2 linked regions of the Rhinolophus ferrumequinum genome follow. The protein of the gene in region 1 interacts with the protein of each later gene in a biochemical or structural test. Links are inferred from orthologs where the notes say so. Each region holds a gene or a part of one and is shown in the gene's direction. Other genes may lie near its edges.

Evidence for each region.
Region 2: the proteins of TNFRSF13B (region 1) and TNFSF13 form a complex in vitro, tested with the Homo sapiens proteins (2 studies listed by BioGRID and IntAct). The link is inferred for Rhinolophus ferrumequinum from reciprocal best matches to the Homo sapiens genes TNFRSF13B and TNFSF13.

What each region holds. Positions count from the first base shown.
Region 1 is NC_046304.1:1,781,805-1,789,156, forward strand, and holds the start of TNFRSF13B (tumor necrosis factor receptor superfamily member 13B), read left to right. Parts: upstream 1-4,350; 5' UTR 4,351-4,377; coding exon 4,378-4,438; intron 4,439-7,352. UniProt on the Homo sapiens protein: Receptor for TNFSF13/APRIL and TNFSF13B/TALL1/BAFF/BLYS that binds both ligands with similar high affinity. Mediates calcineurin-dependent activation of NF-AT, as well as activation of NF-kappa-B and AP-1.
Region 2 is NC_046304.1:11,314,953-11,322,866, reverse strand, and holds the start of TNFSF13 (tumor necrosis factor ligand superfamily member 13), read left to right. Parts: upstream 1-4,904; 5' UTR 4,905-5,941; coding exon 5,942-6,199; intron 6,200-6,540; coding exon 6,541-6,619; intron 6,620-6,770; coding exon 6,771-6,818; intron 6,819-6,963; coding exon 6,964-7,082; intron 7,083-7,297; coding exon 7,298-7,436; intron 7,437-7,691; coding exon 7,692-7,801; 3' UTR 7,802-7,914. Other genes in the region: TNFSF12 (tumor necrosis factor ligand superfamily member 12), read left to right, coding at 3,689-3,813, 4,008-4,259. UniProt on the Homo sapiens protein: Cytokine that binds to TNFRSF13B/TACI and to TNFRSF17/BCMA. Plays a role in the regulation of tumor cell growth. May be involved in monocyte/macrophage-mediated immunological processes.

The sequences.
Region 1 (7,352 bases):
AATGCGCTTGGTTTTGTCTTACATCTTATACTCTCAGAGAAGGTTCAATGGCATGACCTCAAGGGGGACAGAGTAGGGTGGCAGACAGTCCATGAAGGAATCAAGCGCTCCCTGCCTCAGAAGAGACCACAACACCTAGCGTGGGCAGGAGCCTTGGGGCCAAAATGTCACAGATGCATTGCGTAGACTGGAACAGTCTCATTGGAAAATATTGATCAAGACAACTGTTGCGCGGGGCGTCCGGCGGGGTCTCTGCTCCTGCTCCCCACATAAGAACGCAGGACATAGTGAGGCCAAACAGGAACACCCACGGAGCCATAGGTAGGGGAGTCATACCACTATATTCTCGCTGGCGGCTGGGTTGGAGACACAGGAAGCAGGAGCCACACTGTTCACAACCCTCACTGCACCCCTTGCAGGCTCAGCCACCATCTTCTTGCTAGCCCCCATTTTCTGCTAGTGAAGCCACAGCAGTTATATTAGTGGCCAACGGCTCCCTGGTTACAGCTGACGGCCAACTAGCCACAGCTGATGGCCATCCAATCATAGTTGATGGCCATTTACTACTTGAGCGAGCACCTTTCCACGTGAGGCCGAGAGCCAGGAAACTGCACTCCTGGCTCTGTGCCCACAACAACACTGTTCCTTTTGACCTAGTAATTCCACTTAAGGGTCTTAAGCCATCTGACGAGACATGAAGACAGAATATATGTTAAATGATGTGTGTGGAGTGTTTAGAACAGTACGTGGAACACTCGTAAGTGCTTGCTGTTATTATTCCTAATGAGCATTTAAAGAGCTCATTTAAAAAGAGAAGGACTAGGGAACATTTGCTATCTTGCTCCCCAGCATGTGTTGTCAATTTGATTCAAATAAACTCTTGTAAAAATTAAAAAAAAGAGAGAGAGAAGGATTCATTGATAGGCTTTTTAAGTGAAAAAAGCAGCATGTCAACAGTGTGTTTAATCTATATAAGCCAGCAATTGTGTAAAAAGAATAACCAAAAAAGGGGGGAGGATGAAGCAGTATCTTTCATTTAATGACACACAGATGCTGGGCTTTGCTGCAGGGCTGTGTGCACAGGATCAGCTGTCTGAGTACGGAAACAGTGGCCTAGGGTATCCAGATGGGAGAGAAAAGTACTTTTCTCTGTATTCCCTTTCACGCTGTTGGAATTTGTCTTTAGCATGTGCTCATTGTAACTGCTTAAGCATACATATGTAAATGAACCAGTTCAAAAACCTTGAGGTCTACAAGGTATCTTTACTCTGGGTTCCAAAACAATTCTGTCACTTTGACTGCGGAACTTAAAATGAAAATCCTGTATTCCTCTGGAGACAGCTCAGAAAGTGCTGTTTCAATGAGGTTCAGAAACTCCAGCACCTGTTCTGCTTGCAACCGTGCAGCGCGGGAACGGGGTCACAGTGCTTTCACCTGTGCTTTCTTGTTTGAGTTTCCTGTTCATCCATTTGGCCAGGAGAAAATGAGGCCCACAAAGACTAAACAGCTTTCCCCTGAAGTGCTCCACAGCTTTGTTCTGTCTGGTTTAATAAAACCTAATGTCAATCAAAAGAAGCCAGAAGAAAGTGGATGATCCCATTTGTGTGTTCCCATTTATACAATGTTCAGAAACAGGCAAAAGGAATCTATGGTGACAGAAGTCAGAATAGTGGCTAATCTGTGGTGGGATGTCCTGCCTGGAGGAAAGGATGAGGGATGCACATGTTCTAAGCCTAGATCTGAATAGTGTTGCCTGGGTAGGCACATATGTAAACATTAAGTGGCCTGCTCACTTAAAATACGTGCATTTCCCTGCAGGTAAATGACACCTTTAATTAAAGAAAACAGAAAGCAAGTAAAATCTATTATTTGTAAATGGTGTTTGAGTAAAAGCATTAACAAGCAATGGTCAGCAAAGAGATGTTAGGGAACCCTACCATTCAATTCTCAGCCACCCCAAAAGTCAGGTTGGAGTTTGTTTTCCATTTCACACCCAACCTACACTGGCTTCAGACGCCAAAGGGCTACCTTATTGGCCAAGATAATGCATGTGGCTTCACAGAGCAGCGTTCAGTCCAGTGGGTCCGTTTAAGGACAGCACAGTCTGCTCAAAAGATGGAGATGAGCTTTCTAACAGTCAGAGCTAAACCTCAAGAAGCCAGCTGCTTTGGATGGTGGTCCTAAAAGGGGTATGCAAACAGAAGGTAAGGAGAGATTCAACAGTGACTCTGGGCTTGCCTTAACAGGCAACAGAATCTAGGATTGCCTCTGGCTCCCAAATCTACTTCACCAGCCCAGCTGTGGTTTCATTACTTTTCATTGACACAAGTAATACCTGACTATCTTCTCCGTGTGAAACATTAAAACATTACAAATAGGGCTAAGGTCCTCTCTACCGTCAACCCTAAGCCTGGGCCCCTTTTGCCCGACCTGGAGGCAGTCGCTGTCGTCATACGTATCCTTTCAGACCTCTGTACCACATGCACAGGTACCGTGTGTCCCCCAAAATAAGCCCCAGTTAAGATCATCAGCCAGACGGACGCATTTAGTACGTTGTGACAATGTTCCAGAAGAAGATGACATGACTGTATTTGAATAAATGTAGATTGTTTTACATGAAAAAATAAGACATCCCTGAAAATAAGCCCTAATGGAGCAAAAATTAATATAAGACCCGGTTTTATTTTCGGGGGAACGTGGTGAGTGATCACAGACTATACAGAGCAGCTTTGTGTGTGTCCTTTGTGTGTTTGTTTTACTAAAAGGCCTCTTAACTGTAAGTATCATGCTGTAAACTAGTTTTTTCCACTCAACGATCTGTCTTGACAATCTTTCCCATCTCAACAATCTGATAGATCTCATTCTTTTTACCTGTTGCATAGGACTCCGGGGTATGATCTCTGTACCTTGCTCATTCAGCCATCCTCCACTGGACCGGCATTTACGTTGTTCGGGTTGCTCGGTATTGTTAACTGTGCTTCGGTGAACATTCATGTGCGTCTGTGGCGTATGGAGAAGAATTTCTGGGTCGTGGGTTAGGGATATGTTCCACATTTTAAGTGACCCTGGCAAATTGCCCTCCAAAATGGCGGTACCAACTCCTCCCCCCAGCAGGGTGTGAGTCCACATTTCCCTAGACTACCTCTGGCACTTAACATTATCAAATTGTAAGACTTTGCCAACCTGCTGGATGAAAATTAGTTTTTCATTGTTTAACTTGTATTTTTCTGAGTATTGATGAGTGATTTTCAGGTTTATCAACCATTTGTGTTTCCTTTCCTCCTGGGCTCACTGTCATCCAAATCAGCCTTCAGCTTTCCTCCCTCCTGTCCTCTCACCTGTCCCAAAGCCTTCCCTCTTTTTCTCCACCTGCCTGAATCCGTCTTCCCATTCCTCAAAGTTTACTTCCTAAACTCCACAGGCTGTCTATGACTTCTAAATTCATCTCACTTTAGCCTTAAGCTACTGGGCTTCCTATCCCTGCAGAGGTTTCAGAGGAGTTGGGAAAATAGAAATAAAGTTACAACAGTGTAATAAACCTTACAGTGCTAATGTCATTTATTGAGAACTTACTATGTGCCAAGAACTTGCTCTAAGAATTTAACTGTTAACTAATTTCATTCTCATAACAACCTGTGAGACAGGTACCGTTATTATACCCATTTTACAGAAGAGAAAATGGAGGCACAGAGAAGTTAAGTATATTGCCACCAAGGCTGTAAGTAGCAGAGCCAAGATTCAAACCCAGGCTGTCTGGCTCTAGTGTCAGCCTCTTGAGTTCTTTGATAGGGGTAAGAACAGGCCTTAGGAAGCACAGAATGGGCTCCTAACCTGGCCTGGAGTGGTCAGGGATGTCTTCCTGGAGGAGTTGGCACCTGAAGAAGAAACAGGAGAGTATCAGGCAATAAAATATGAAACTGAGCCTGAAGAAGGAACAGGAGAGTATCAGGCAATAAAATATGAAAAAGTTGTCCAGGAAGAGGGAAGATGCCTCAGCAACGCTTGGAGGCTGGAGAACTGGTTCACCCTGGCTGCAGCCTGGGGTCTGTACACTGGAGCAGGAGACCGGGCCCAAATGATGGGCCAAGGCCAGATCTGGGCCAAATTAGAGTTTAGACCCCATCCCAAGGCCAGGCCAGCTCTTCCCCTGTTCGTTGCGCCCTGTGGGCACCGTGAGTGCAGTGCGGGTTCAGCAGACAGCACCAGACCCAAGTCCTGGAGCGTCAAGTCCACCCACCTCAGCCCATGAGACAGACTGCGCAGGCGTGGGGGTGGGAGTAGGTTCTGCTGATTTACATTTTACAGGTTGTGGGGAAAACCCAGGAAGTGCAGGCTAGGCACTAATCAAATCTAAGCCTAATAATAACATCCTGAGTAATGAGTGGCCTGGGCCGGAGCAGGCAAGGTGGCTGGAGCGGGGCAGGCCAGGAGGAGCCATGTGAGTAACTGCGGAGGCAGGCGAGTGGGCGCGAGGAGGGCTTGGCCTGGGGGACCGGGTGTGGGTTCAGTGGGGCTTGGTGGGCGTGGCGCCCACAGGAGGTGAGCAACCTCAGGAGGTCCAGGGGCCTCCCCACGTCCCCGCATGTGCAGAACCTGGAGTCTGGGCCTTTGGGGGTGTCGTGCAGGGGATCCTGCCGACTAAGCCAAGTGTCGTGCAGGGCGTCCGGTGGGGTCTCTGGTCCCGCTCCCCACATAAGAGCGCAGGACATGGTGAGGCCAAAAAGGAACACCCACGGAGCCATAGGTAGGGGAGTCATACCACTGTATTCTCGCTGGCGGCTGGGTTGGAGAAACAGGAAACAGGAGCCACACAATTCTCAACCCTCACTGCGCCGCTTGCAGGCTCAGCCACCATCTTCTCGCTAGCTCCCCCCTTTTTGCTAGCCTAGCCAGGGCAGTTATATTCATGGCTAATGGCTCACTGGTTACAGCTGACGGCCAACTAGCCACAGCTGATGGCCATTTGATCACAGTCGATGGCCATTTACTACCTTTCTATGTGAGGCCGAGAGCCTGGAAACTGCTGTTTGGGGCCCTGTCCCCACAGGGGGTCTGCGCCTTGCATTCCAGGAAAGGAGTGGTGAGGCAGGAAGGTGAGCCACACAGACCGGAATTCCCTCCGTGACCCCCACCCCACTCCAAACTGGTCCCAGAACCCAGAGCCAAATTGATCAGGACATTTTAAAAATATTTTCTTTTGAAGTTGACACTTAAGCAAAGGTAGAGAGGAGAGTCTAACACACCGTCCTGCATACATCAACCAGCTTCAACAATTATCGATATATGGCCAGCCTTCTAATATCCATGTCCCTCATTTACCCCCTTCGTCCCTACTGGATCATTTCAAAGCAAATTCCAAACACCACGTTGTTTGATTTGTAGATACTTCAGATTTATCTCTTAAAAACAAAAACTCTTTAAAAAACAAAACCAAAAAAACTAACCATCCATCATACCATGACCACTTCTGAAAAGAATAATTCCTTAGTGTCACCATATAGCCAGTGGTCAGACTGCCTCAATTGTCTTATCAATGTCTTTCCAATTGATTTGTTCAAATTAGGATCCAAAGACAGCCCACATTATACATTTTGTTATATGTTTTAATCTATAACAATTACCATTCTGTCTCACTGTTTGTTTCCTTGCTCTTTATTTCTTGAAGAAACTGGATCATTTATCTTGAAGAATTTTTATCAGGGCAGGTTTTAAAGGTTTGTTCAGCCCATAGGTTGCTAAAGCAGATGAGCAGATTCAAGTCTGTCACCGTGCAGAGGGGACCCAAGGCTGGATTTGAGGATGTGTCATGGTCATGAGTGGCATGGCCTGGATCTGCATGCTGCTCCCTGCCGCTTTGCCCCCTGCACCTTAGACAGGGAGTGTATCTTTTCTCTGCTTCCCTCGTATTTCCAGCGACCACATAAACCCAGACATGTCCCCAAACTAAGGGCTCAAATATATAAAATTTCTGAGAGTTGGACCAGGCGGTTTCGCGAGATTGCCCGGGACTGAGTCAGGAAGCTGTGATCTGGTGCAGTAGAATCAGCCCTGGCTGGGAGTCAGGAGTTCTAGCTCCCGCTGTTCACAGACTTGCTGCGTGACCTGGGGTGATCCCCTTTACCTCTCTGGGCTCTGTTTCCTCAGCTGTAAAATGAAGAAGGGCCTCTGTCACACCAGATGTTCCTCAAAAACATAAAAGCGTTTTGAACCTGCCGGAGCCCCATTTGAAGAGTCACAAGCAAAGGGTCTCAGAAGGGTTGCAGTTATAGTGCTTTGACCTTTAACCCAATGATTTTCAAATTAATTTGACCACAGAGGTCTTTCTTGATATAGCACCTATTAAGGGGTCAAGTACGTGAGGAAATACAGGCCAGAGGCTCCAAGAATCGTCTCTCCTGGCTGCTGTCTGGTCTCAGCGTGCAGGAGAGCCTAGGGTATGAGCCGGGCCCACAGAGGAGTTCTTCCCCATATGTTAATGGAGCTTCTTTCTTAAGCTTCTGTTCTGCCTGGCAGGTGTCAATTTGGGGGTGTTCCTGCCCCTCGTTGAGGCTGGATGATGGTTCTGAGATTTTATATAGGTCCAGGTGGTGGTGGAAGAAGGGAGAGCAGGGACAGTATCCACTGGTCAGTGGGGTGTCTGCAATCTGGCCAGTTGGTACAGATGTCCTCTTTAGGCCCAGTGGCTTGGTTGCTTCCCGATGATGAACAGGTTTTGAAAGCTCTCTAAGGCTTCCCTTGTCCGATCTAACCCACTGTTTATCCGCCCATCGCTTCCCAGTTGGGTGGGGTGGGTGGCAGCTTTCTCCTTCTCCTCCCCCCAGATGAGGGGAGGGGTCGGGTTTCTTTTTCATTTTGTTTGATCCTCTTATTTTTAAAATTTGCTTGTTGAATAGATAGTAGTTACATGTTGGAAGACCAGAAAATGCAAAACGTGATATAACAGAAAGCCTTCCCGCCTTGTCTTCCGTCTGCCCAGTTCCTGCCTCCCGTAGAATAAACAGCTTTATTTAGATATAATTTACATGCCATCAAGTTCACCTGTTTAAAGTAGACAATTCCATTTCTTTAAGAATATTCGCAGAGTGGTGTAACCATTGCTATAATCTAACTTTAGAACATTTCATCATCCCCAGAAGAAACCTGGTCACGCCTCGTTCCTCCCTACCCCCAGCCCTAGGCTACCACTAATCTACTGCCTGTCTCTATAGATGTAGGTATTTTGGACAAGTTATAAAAATGGAATGTGGTGTCTTGTGACTGGCTTCTTCTACTTAGCATACTGTTTTTGAGATTCATCCATGTTGTAGTGTGTAGCAGTACTTCATTCCTTTTGATGGCCAAATATTCCATTT
Region 2 (7,914 bases), about 9.5 Mb from region 1:
AAAGGGCCCCACAAGCAAAGCCCTGAGGCTCTTGGATATCTAGAAGAGAAGGAAAACCCAGCAGAGACTGAGAAGTAGCCAAAGAGAGGGAAAGAAACCCAGGGAGGGCAGTGTTATACAACCTAAGAGCAGACACAATTTCAAGAAGGAGGATGTGGCTGTCTGTGTTGAATGCAGCTGAGAAGTCGCATGAGAAGAGAACAGAGAAATGACTGCCGGGTTTGGCAATGTTCAATGTCAACTGGTGACCTTGACAGGAGTGGTTTCAGTGGTATAATTAGGTTGGAAACCAGCATGAATTGGGTTAAGAGAAAACGTGAAATAGGAATTGGAGATAGTGACAACCCTTTCCAGATGTTTCTCTGTGACAGGAGTAGAGAAATTGGCCAGTAGGTGGAGGAGGATGTGGATCAAGGAAAAATTCAGTCTTTTTAGTGATAAGAAATACTACGTGAATCTTAGCTACCATTTACTGATCTCATCTAATCCTCCCAACAGTCCTAAAAGGAAGATATTCTGATCATTTTCCAGTTGGAAGTTACTTAACTTGTCTGAGGTCATGAGAATACTAAGTGGTAGAGCCACTGGGATTTGAACCCAGCTAGAGTGTGCTTGTGTACTGGACAAGGTCCCTGGGAGAGGCGATTGCTGATGCAGGGGTGGGGAAAGTCTGTAGGGCAATGTATGAGAAGGTGGGAGGGGATGGATTCAAGAATGAAGAGAGAGACGCGTCATCCCATCATCACAAGAGGGGCATTGGAGAAAGTGAGAGCAGGTTGGTTTGTAGTTTTGGTGCAGAGAGGTGAGGGAGCTGTCGCCTGCTGACTTTTAGGTGCTTTGGAGAACTAGGGAGACAGGAGGCAGTAAGTTTGAGGAGAGATGGTACAAAATCCTTATCTTGGTGAGTGGCTTAGTGAGGGAAAGTAGGAGGATTGCCAGGAAGTAAGGGATGTCCATTTGAGGTTTGTGGTTGTGAAACAGAGTGACACCGCGGTCCCAGGCATAACATGCCCTTTGGCCACAACCAGCCTTTGTTCAAGCTGGTTCCATATCTAGGAACACCCACTCTCATTCTCTCCCCCTACTCTTCATGACCCAAACCAGACTTCCTCCTCTTTTTGTGGACCACTTATTTCAGCAGTTACCCAGACATTCATTCATTCTTTGACTCAACGCACATGCACTGAAAACCTACTGTTTGGAAGGACCCAGGTAGGTGCCCACAATGAATAACACCCAGACCTACTCTCAAGGAATTACTGTCTAGAAGGGACAAGCATATAAATTACGGTATGCTATGACAAGAACAACATTGAAAGTAGCCAGAGGTACATGGTGGCATAGAGGAAGATAAGAAATTTTCCATGGAGTCAGGGATTCCCTCCCCAAGAAGATGTGGCTTCCCTGGGCCTTGAAGCATGAATGTAAGATGGACAAGGGGTCAAGGACTTTCCAGGTGGAGGAACCACTTGTGCAAAATCCCTGAGTTTGCCAAGAGTATGATGAGGCTTGGGGACCGTGAGAAGCTCCATGTAGCTGAAGGAGAAAATGCTAGAGGGGTAGGACGGGGCATGAGGTTGGAGAAGAATGTGGGAGCCAGATCACAACTGACTGAAATCTGGGAGTTATTCTGAAGTCACAGTGAGGAGAGGCAGGCTCACATCTGCATTTTAGAAATATCGTTCTGGAACCTCTCGTGCATGTAAGGTCTCTGACACTCTCATGTATGCGGGGTTCCATACATCTGCATATACTAAATTTGGTTATTTTTCTCTTTAAAAAAATGAAAAGAAGAAGCATCATTCTGTGGCTCTGCTTAGGGAATAAACTGGAGCAGCAAGATTGGAAAAAGGGAGTCCAATAAGAAAGGAGGCTGAGAAGTGAGAAGTGGCAGGAGCCAGCCTGGGAGGGAGATGGGCCAGAGCCATTTAGATGGCAGAATTCCTAGGAACAGTTAATGGGTGAAAAAAGTTGGTGAAGGAGAGGGAGGCTTAGGTACTCTGTGGGAGTAGAACTGTAAGCCGAATGTGGAATACAGACAGTAAGGGAAGTTTGGGGTGGGGCACCAAGCTCAGTTTTGGTCAAGATGAGTTTGAGGTTCCCAGGGCTATTCAAATGGCAGCAGTTGATAGGGTGAGGTGTGGTGGGGTTGAGTCTGCAGGGAAAGGCCGGGATAACCCACAGGTGGAAATGAAAATGCCCAGAGAGCTGTACATTTTCCTTGAGAAAGTAACAAGGATGGGACCCTGGGGCTGGCGGAGGATGAAGGATGGGGAAGGCAGCTGCTGAGGCTGCTGAGACACAGCCCGTGAGGTCCAGGAGAGTGGCCTGTGGACCCAAACAGAGAGCTGTTGGCCACGTTCGCCGACTTCCCTCTATTTTTCCCCCAGTGTTTGCTGGGTGCCCTCTCAGAGCAGGCCCAGCTCCAGGTGCCAGGATACAGTGGTGAATAGGACCGTTGTCCCTGTCCTATTAGCGGAGTCAGACCCCAAACCATCACGTACACAAATAAACCAGATGATTTCCCATGTTGGTGACTACTATGAAAGAAACAGGGTGACATGGTGAGGAGTTATGAAGGCAGGGCTGGGACTGGCTATTTTAAACTGGGTGGCCAGGGAAGGCCTCACATGAGTTGAGACCTGACTGACAGAATGCGCCAGGCAGAGCAGCGCATTCTGGGAAGGGGGGAGAACAGTACAAAGCCCTGCAGGGACAAGGAGCTTGCTTGATGGCAGAAATAGAAAGAAGGCCAGAGTGGGTGGAGTGTTGTGAGTTAGAGGGGTGTGTGAGATTAGGTTGGAGAGGTAGACAGGGTGGCTGTGGAGAAACTGGGAAGCCACTTAAGGTCCTGTTCTGTCATTTTATTATTTATCTTCTTTGCAATTTGCTATTACCCTAGCTCTAGATTTTTTTTGTGTGTGTAACGGTTTTATTGAGATAAAGCTGGGCTCACATACCGTACAATTCACCCACTGAAGTTATATAGTTAAATGGTTTTCAGTATATTCACAGTTGTGCAACCATCACTACAGTAATTTTTGAACATTTTCATCCCCTCAGAAAGAAGCCCCATACCCTTTAGCCATCATCCGCTATTTCTCTGATTTCCATCCCCCCCACACCAGCTCGAAGCAACCACTAATCTATTTTCTGTCTCTCTGATACTCTGTGGTCCTTTGTGACTGGCTTCTTTCACTTTGCATAATGTTTTCAAGGTTCATAGCATTTCTTTTGAAGGCTGAATAATATCCCATTATATGGAAAATGACAATTTTCCATATCATCAGTTGATGGACATGTGGGTACCATTTTATTGTTTTTAATTTTAATAATCTAAGTAATGTATGATTCAAGTAATGTATGTATACATTCTCAAATTAAAAGAGGCAAACACTATCAACACAAAATATAAAAACCCCCACGCTTCTCCTTCAGTCCTACTTTTCTCCCCAGAAGAGTCTAGTCACAGCTTGCTCTGTGTGATTCTCGTCGTATAAGTCGGATTTTTTCACATAACTTCTCATTACACTATGGGCTCCACAGGCTATGGCTCCTTCCTCGTCCTGGGTTATCTATTTATCTTCTGGGTAAGGTGGGCCCTAAAGGTTTATAAACTCATTTGGTGGCAGGGAGTGTGTGAGTCCTGTGAAGGGACTTTCCCCTATCTCTGAACATCCACATTCAGGTGTGGACGGGACGGTGAGTGGCTGGGAAGAGGCCAAAATCAACAGCTCCAACCCACTGCGCTATGACCGCCAGAGCGGGGGATTTATAGTCACTCGGGCTGGGCTCTACTACCTGTACTGTCAGGTAAGCCCCACCTGGCTGCATGGGTAAAGCAAGAACTGAAGGAGAAGGGTTTGGTTTAGAGGGTGGGGGCAAGCTAAAGGTGGGGAGGGGGAGCTTGGGGATTTAGCTGGGGAGGATATCTGGCTCTAAGGAAATTTGAAACTGGGGGCAAGCAGAGGCCTGGACTGTGCCACCTTCCTCCCCCCCACCCCCAGGTGCACTTTGACGAGGGGAAGGCTGTCTACCTGAAGTTGGACTTGCTGGTTGATGACACGCTGGCCCTGCGCTGCCTAGAAGAATTCTCTGCCACTGCAGCAAGTTCCCTCGGGCCCCAGCTCCGTCTCTGCCAGGTGTCTGGCCTGTTGCCCCTGCGGCCAGGGTCCTCCCTACGGATCCGCACCCTCCCCTGGGCCCATCTCAAGGCTGCCCCCTTTCTCACCTACTTTGGACTCTTCCAAGTTCACTGAGGGGCCCTGGTCTCACGGTGGTTTACCCAGGCTGCTGGCTCCCCACAACAACTCTCTGAGCACCCCAGCCCCCTCTGCCCCACCCTAAGCTGCTGCTCCCTTCAGACCTGCCTCTCCCTGGGTAGACTGCCAGGGCTTGTTCACGTGTTTTCCTTGCCACATAAATATTCCCATTCGTCTCCGACAACTCCCCCCACCTCTGGTTCTCCACCTCGCTAGCTTCTGAACCCCTGATCTTTGATGCCCCTATGTATCTCCTGACTCCCCACTCTGGCCACAGCCCCCTGAGACACTGTTTACTGTACTCTGGGTGAGGATGGGTCCCCAGTACCCCTCTTCAGGCACTAAGAGGGCTGGATGCCAAAGAGACTGGGAATAGGCCAGGAGTTCCCTAATGTGAGGGCTAAGAGACCAAGACAAGTTCCTCCCTGATAATATCCTGTGGATTTTTAAAAGATATTATTTTTATTATTATTGTGACAAAATGTTGATAAGTGGATATTAAAGAGAATAAGTCATGGTCGCTCTCTTTATTGGGGCTTAGGGGACCTCCTCAGGGTAGCTGAGGGCCCTGGGAAGGGGGTCTTGGGCCTTGGGGAGCGGGGTGTAAAACACCTGGAATTCCAGGGCTGTGTGCAGGTTTGGGAGTGGGGACCCACATGCCTCCAACCCCTGAGAGTGGAAAGGCAAACTGCCAGGAAAAAAGATTAATCCTCTGCCCAAGGTCCAGCAGAAGCAGCCTCATTTACCTAGGAGGCGGGCTTCCTCCCGCGGGGAATCCCTAGCTGGGAGATACAGGGCCCTTCCTCTTGGCAGTCTCAGGACATTCAGCAGGTGCTGGCACTAGCCCTGGCGGGGATGTGGGGTGGGAGCAGGCCTAGAGAGGGCTTCAGGGTCAGTAAGCAGGACAGTGGGACCCAGGAACATGGAAACCTGTGCCCCAGGATCCAGGGCAGGAATCCTACAGTGGTAGGGTGCTTGGGGCTGTCTCTTTCTCTCTTCGTCCAGAGCCTTATGTAAGAGCTTTTCTCTGGAAACAGGAAGTCCTGCTTGCCAAGTTCAGCATAGGGAGTAGTGCAGGCCTTATTCCAACACACCCGGCCTGGCCTTAACCCCAGAACTCAGCCAGTTTCTTTCTTCCGCGACCCTAGTTCTCCCCACTGGCCCCCTTCCGTCCTTTCCCACCTTCAGTCACTCCTAGTAAACTTCCCTAGAGATCTCTCCCTGGCCTGAGCCCAGAGGATCTTCCACCCTCACCCCTTGACCCTCGATGCTGCCCAGCTTGTCCCTCCATCCCTGCTCCTGGCACCATGCCCCATAACCAGCCAACCTTCCCTCCCCCACTTCTGGGGCCGCCCCAGGGTTCCTGTGCTCTGGCCGCTCCTCCTGGGTGTCACTGGCAGCCCCGTGCTTCCTAGAGAGACTGACACCAAATTCTCCTGAGGCTGGAGGAGGGTTCGGGGTCTCAAGACAACATTGGCCCCACAGCGGGGTGCCAGGAGCACCAACAGTGCCCCTAGCTTGCTTTCTTCCTCCCTCCTTTTTATTCTCAAGTTCCTTTTTATTTCTCCCTTGCGTAACGCCCTTCCTCCCTTCTGCACCACTGCCTGCACTCCCACCCTCCCTGCCACCTCCTTGCCATCCACTCTTGAGACCATAGCTGTTGGCAGGGTCCCCAGCTCATGCCAGCCTCATCTCCTTCCTTGCTAGCCCCCAAAGCGCCCCCAGGAGACATGAGGGGCCAGGTCCGAGAACCGGCACTCTCAGTTGCCCTCTGGTTGAGTTGGGGGGCAGCTCTGGGGGCTGTGGCCTGTGCCATGGCTCTGCTGACCCAACAAACAGAGCTGCAAACCCTAAGGAGAGAGGTGACCCGGCTGCAGAGGACTGGAGGGCCCTCTGAGAAGGGGGAAGGATATCCATGGCTGAGCTTCCGGGAGCAGGTGAGTGAGGGGAGAAGGGTGTCTGGGGTAGAAGGATGGGTGGCAGGGTTGTCTCTGGGCCTCTTGGTTCCAGACTCCTAGTCTGCAAAGTTTCAAGTGGGTGCAAGAGAGGTCCCGGGTTTGGAGGTCAAGGGAGTAGCCATTCCAGGAAAGAAATTGTTAAAGATTAATGCTTCTTGTACCTACCAGATCCTGGAATACAGCCAGCACCAAGACTCAGGTTGCTGGGGAAAGGTGCATGAGAGATGTGGGGCGTGCCCGGGATGGTGGAAGGGCTGAAAAGAAAGGCTGTCTGGGACTTTTGCATCTTAGCCTAACCCTGACCTTCTTTCCATGAACAGAGCCCTGACAGCCTGGAAGGCTGGGAGAATGGGGAGAGACCCCGGAGAAGGAGAGCCACGCTCACCCGTAAACCGAAGAGTGAGGCCTCCAGGGTGCAGCAGGGGTGGGAGTGATCAAGCAGCCTGGGGATTTGGAGATTGTTACCCCAAGACAGGGTAAGGGTGGAGGGCTGACAACAGGGCAACTGGGGTAGGTGGACACTGCTGAGATTTCCTCCTTCTCTCCTCAGAGAAGCACTCAGTTCTGCATCTTGTTCCCATTAACATTACCTCCAAGGGTGAGCACGATTTTAAATCATGGCTTTTGGGGAGGGACAAGATCTGGGAACTTCCGGGGCTGGCACCTGGGCCCAAGAGAATCTGAAAGGTGAGAAGTACCTGAGAATGCATAGAAATCCTGATTGCCACACTCCTCACCTCCAGAGGACTCTGATGTGACAGAGGTGTTGTGGGAACCAGCTCTTAAGCGTGGGAGAGGCCTGGAGGCCCAAGGATATGTTGTTCGAGTCTGGGATACTGGAGTTTATCTGCTGTACAGCCAGGTAACCCCAAACAAACATCGAACCTCATGTAGGGGCCTGGAGGCCTTTTCTCCCAGAGTCTTATGCCCCAATACTGAGGTTTCCCCACCCTCTGGTCATACCAAACTTAGAAGACCCTTCTTCATTCCTTGGCTCCTTTGTCAGGGCTCCTGAGGCCTCCCAGAACTGAGCAACACTGCCCTGTTTTCTTCAACATCTCCTCCCTTCCCTGCCAGGTTCTGTTTCATGATGTGACTTTCACCATGGGTCAAGTGGTGTCTCGGGAGGGCCAGGGAAGGCAGGAGACTCTATTCCGATGTATACGAAGTATGCCCTCCAACCCAGACTGGGCTTACAATAGCTGCTACAGTGCAGGTAAGAGCCTGTGGGTGGTAGGGGGTGGATGTGAGAACAGCAGGACATCCCTGACCTAGGAGTAGTAGCGACAAGGGGAGAGCTGTAACAGGGGGTTGGAAGCCTAGGTGTAGAGGTGGATCTGAGGAACGAAAGACAACACCTAGGTCCTTACAGGAAGCAGTAAAAAGGTTGAGCTGGAAAAGGGAGGGTGAAACATCAGAGTATGTTCCTGGCTGTGCTTCACTGAGCATCCGTTTTTCTCCCTTTTCTCAGGTGTCTTCCATTTACACCAAGGGGATATTCTTAGTGTCATAATCCCGCGAGCAAGGGCGAAACTTAGCCTCTCTCCCCATGGAACCTTCCTGGGTTTTGTGAAACTGTGATTTTGTTGTAAAAGGTGGTTCTGGGCTTGGAAGACCAGGGTTGGTACATACTGGAGACAGCCAAGAGTTGACTAGACAAAGCACGGAATGAGCAGGAACACAGGCCTCTTCTG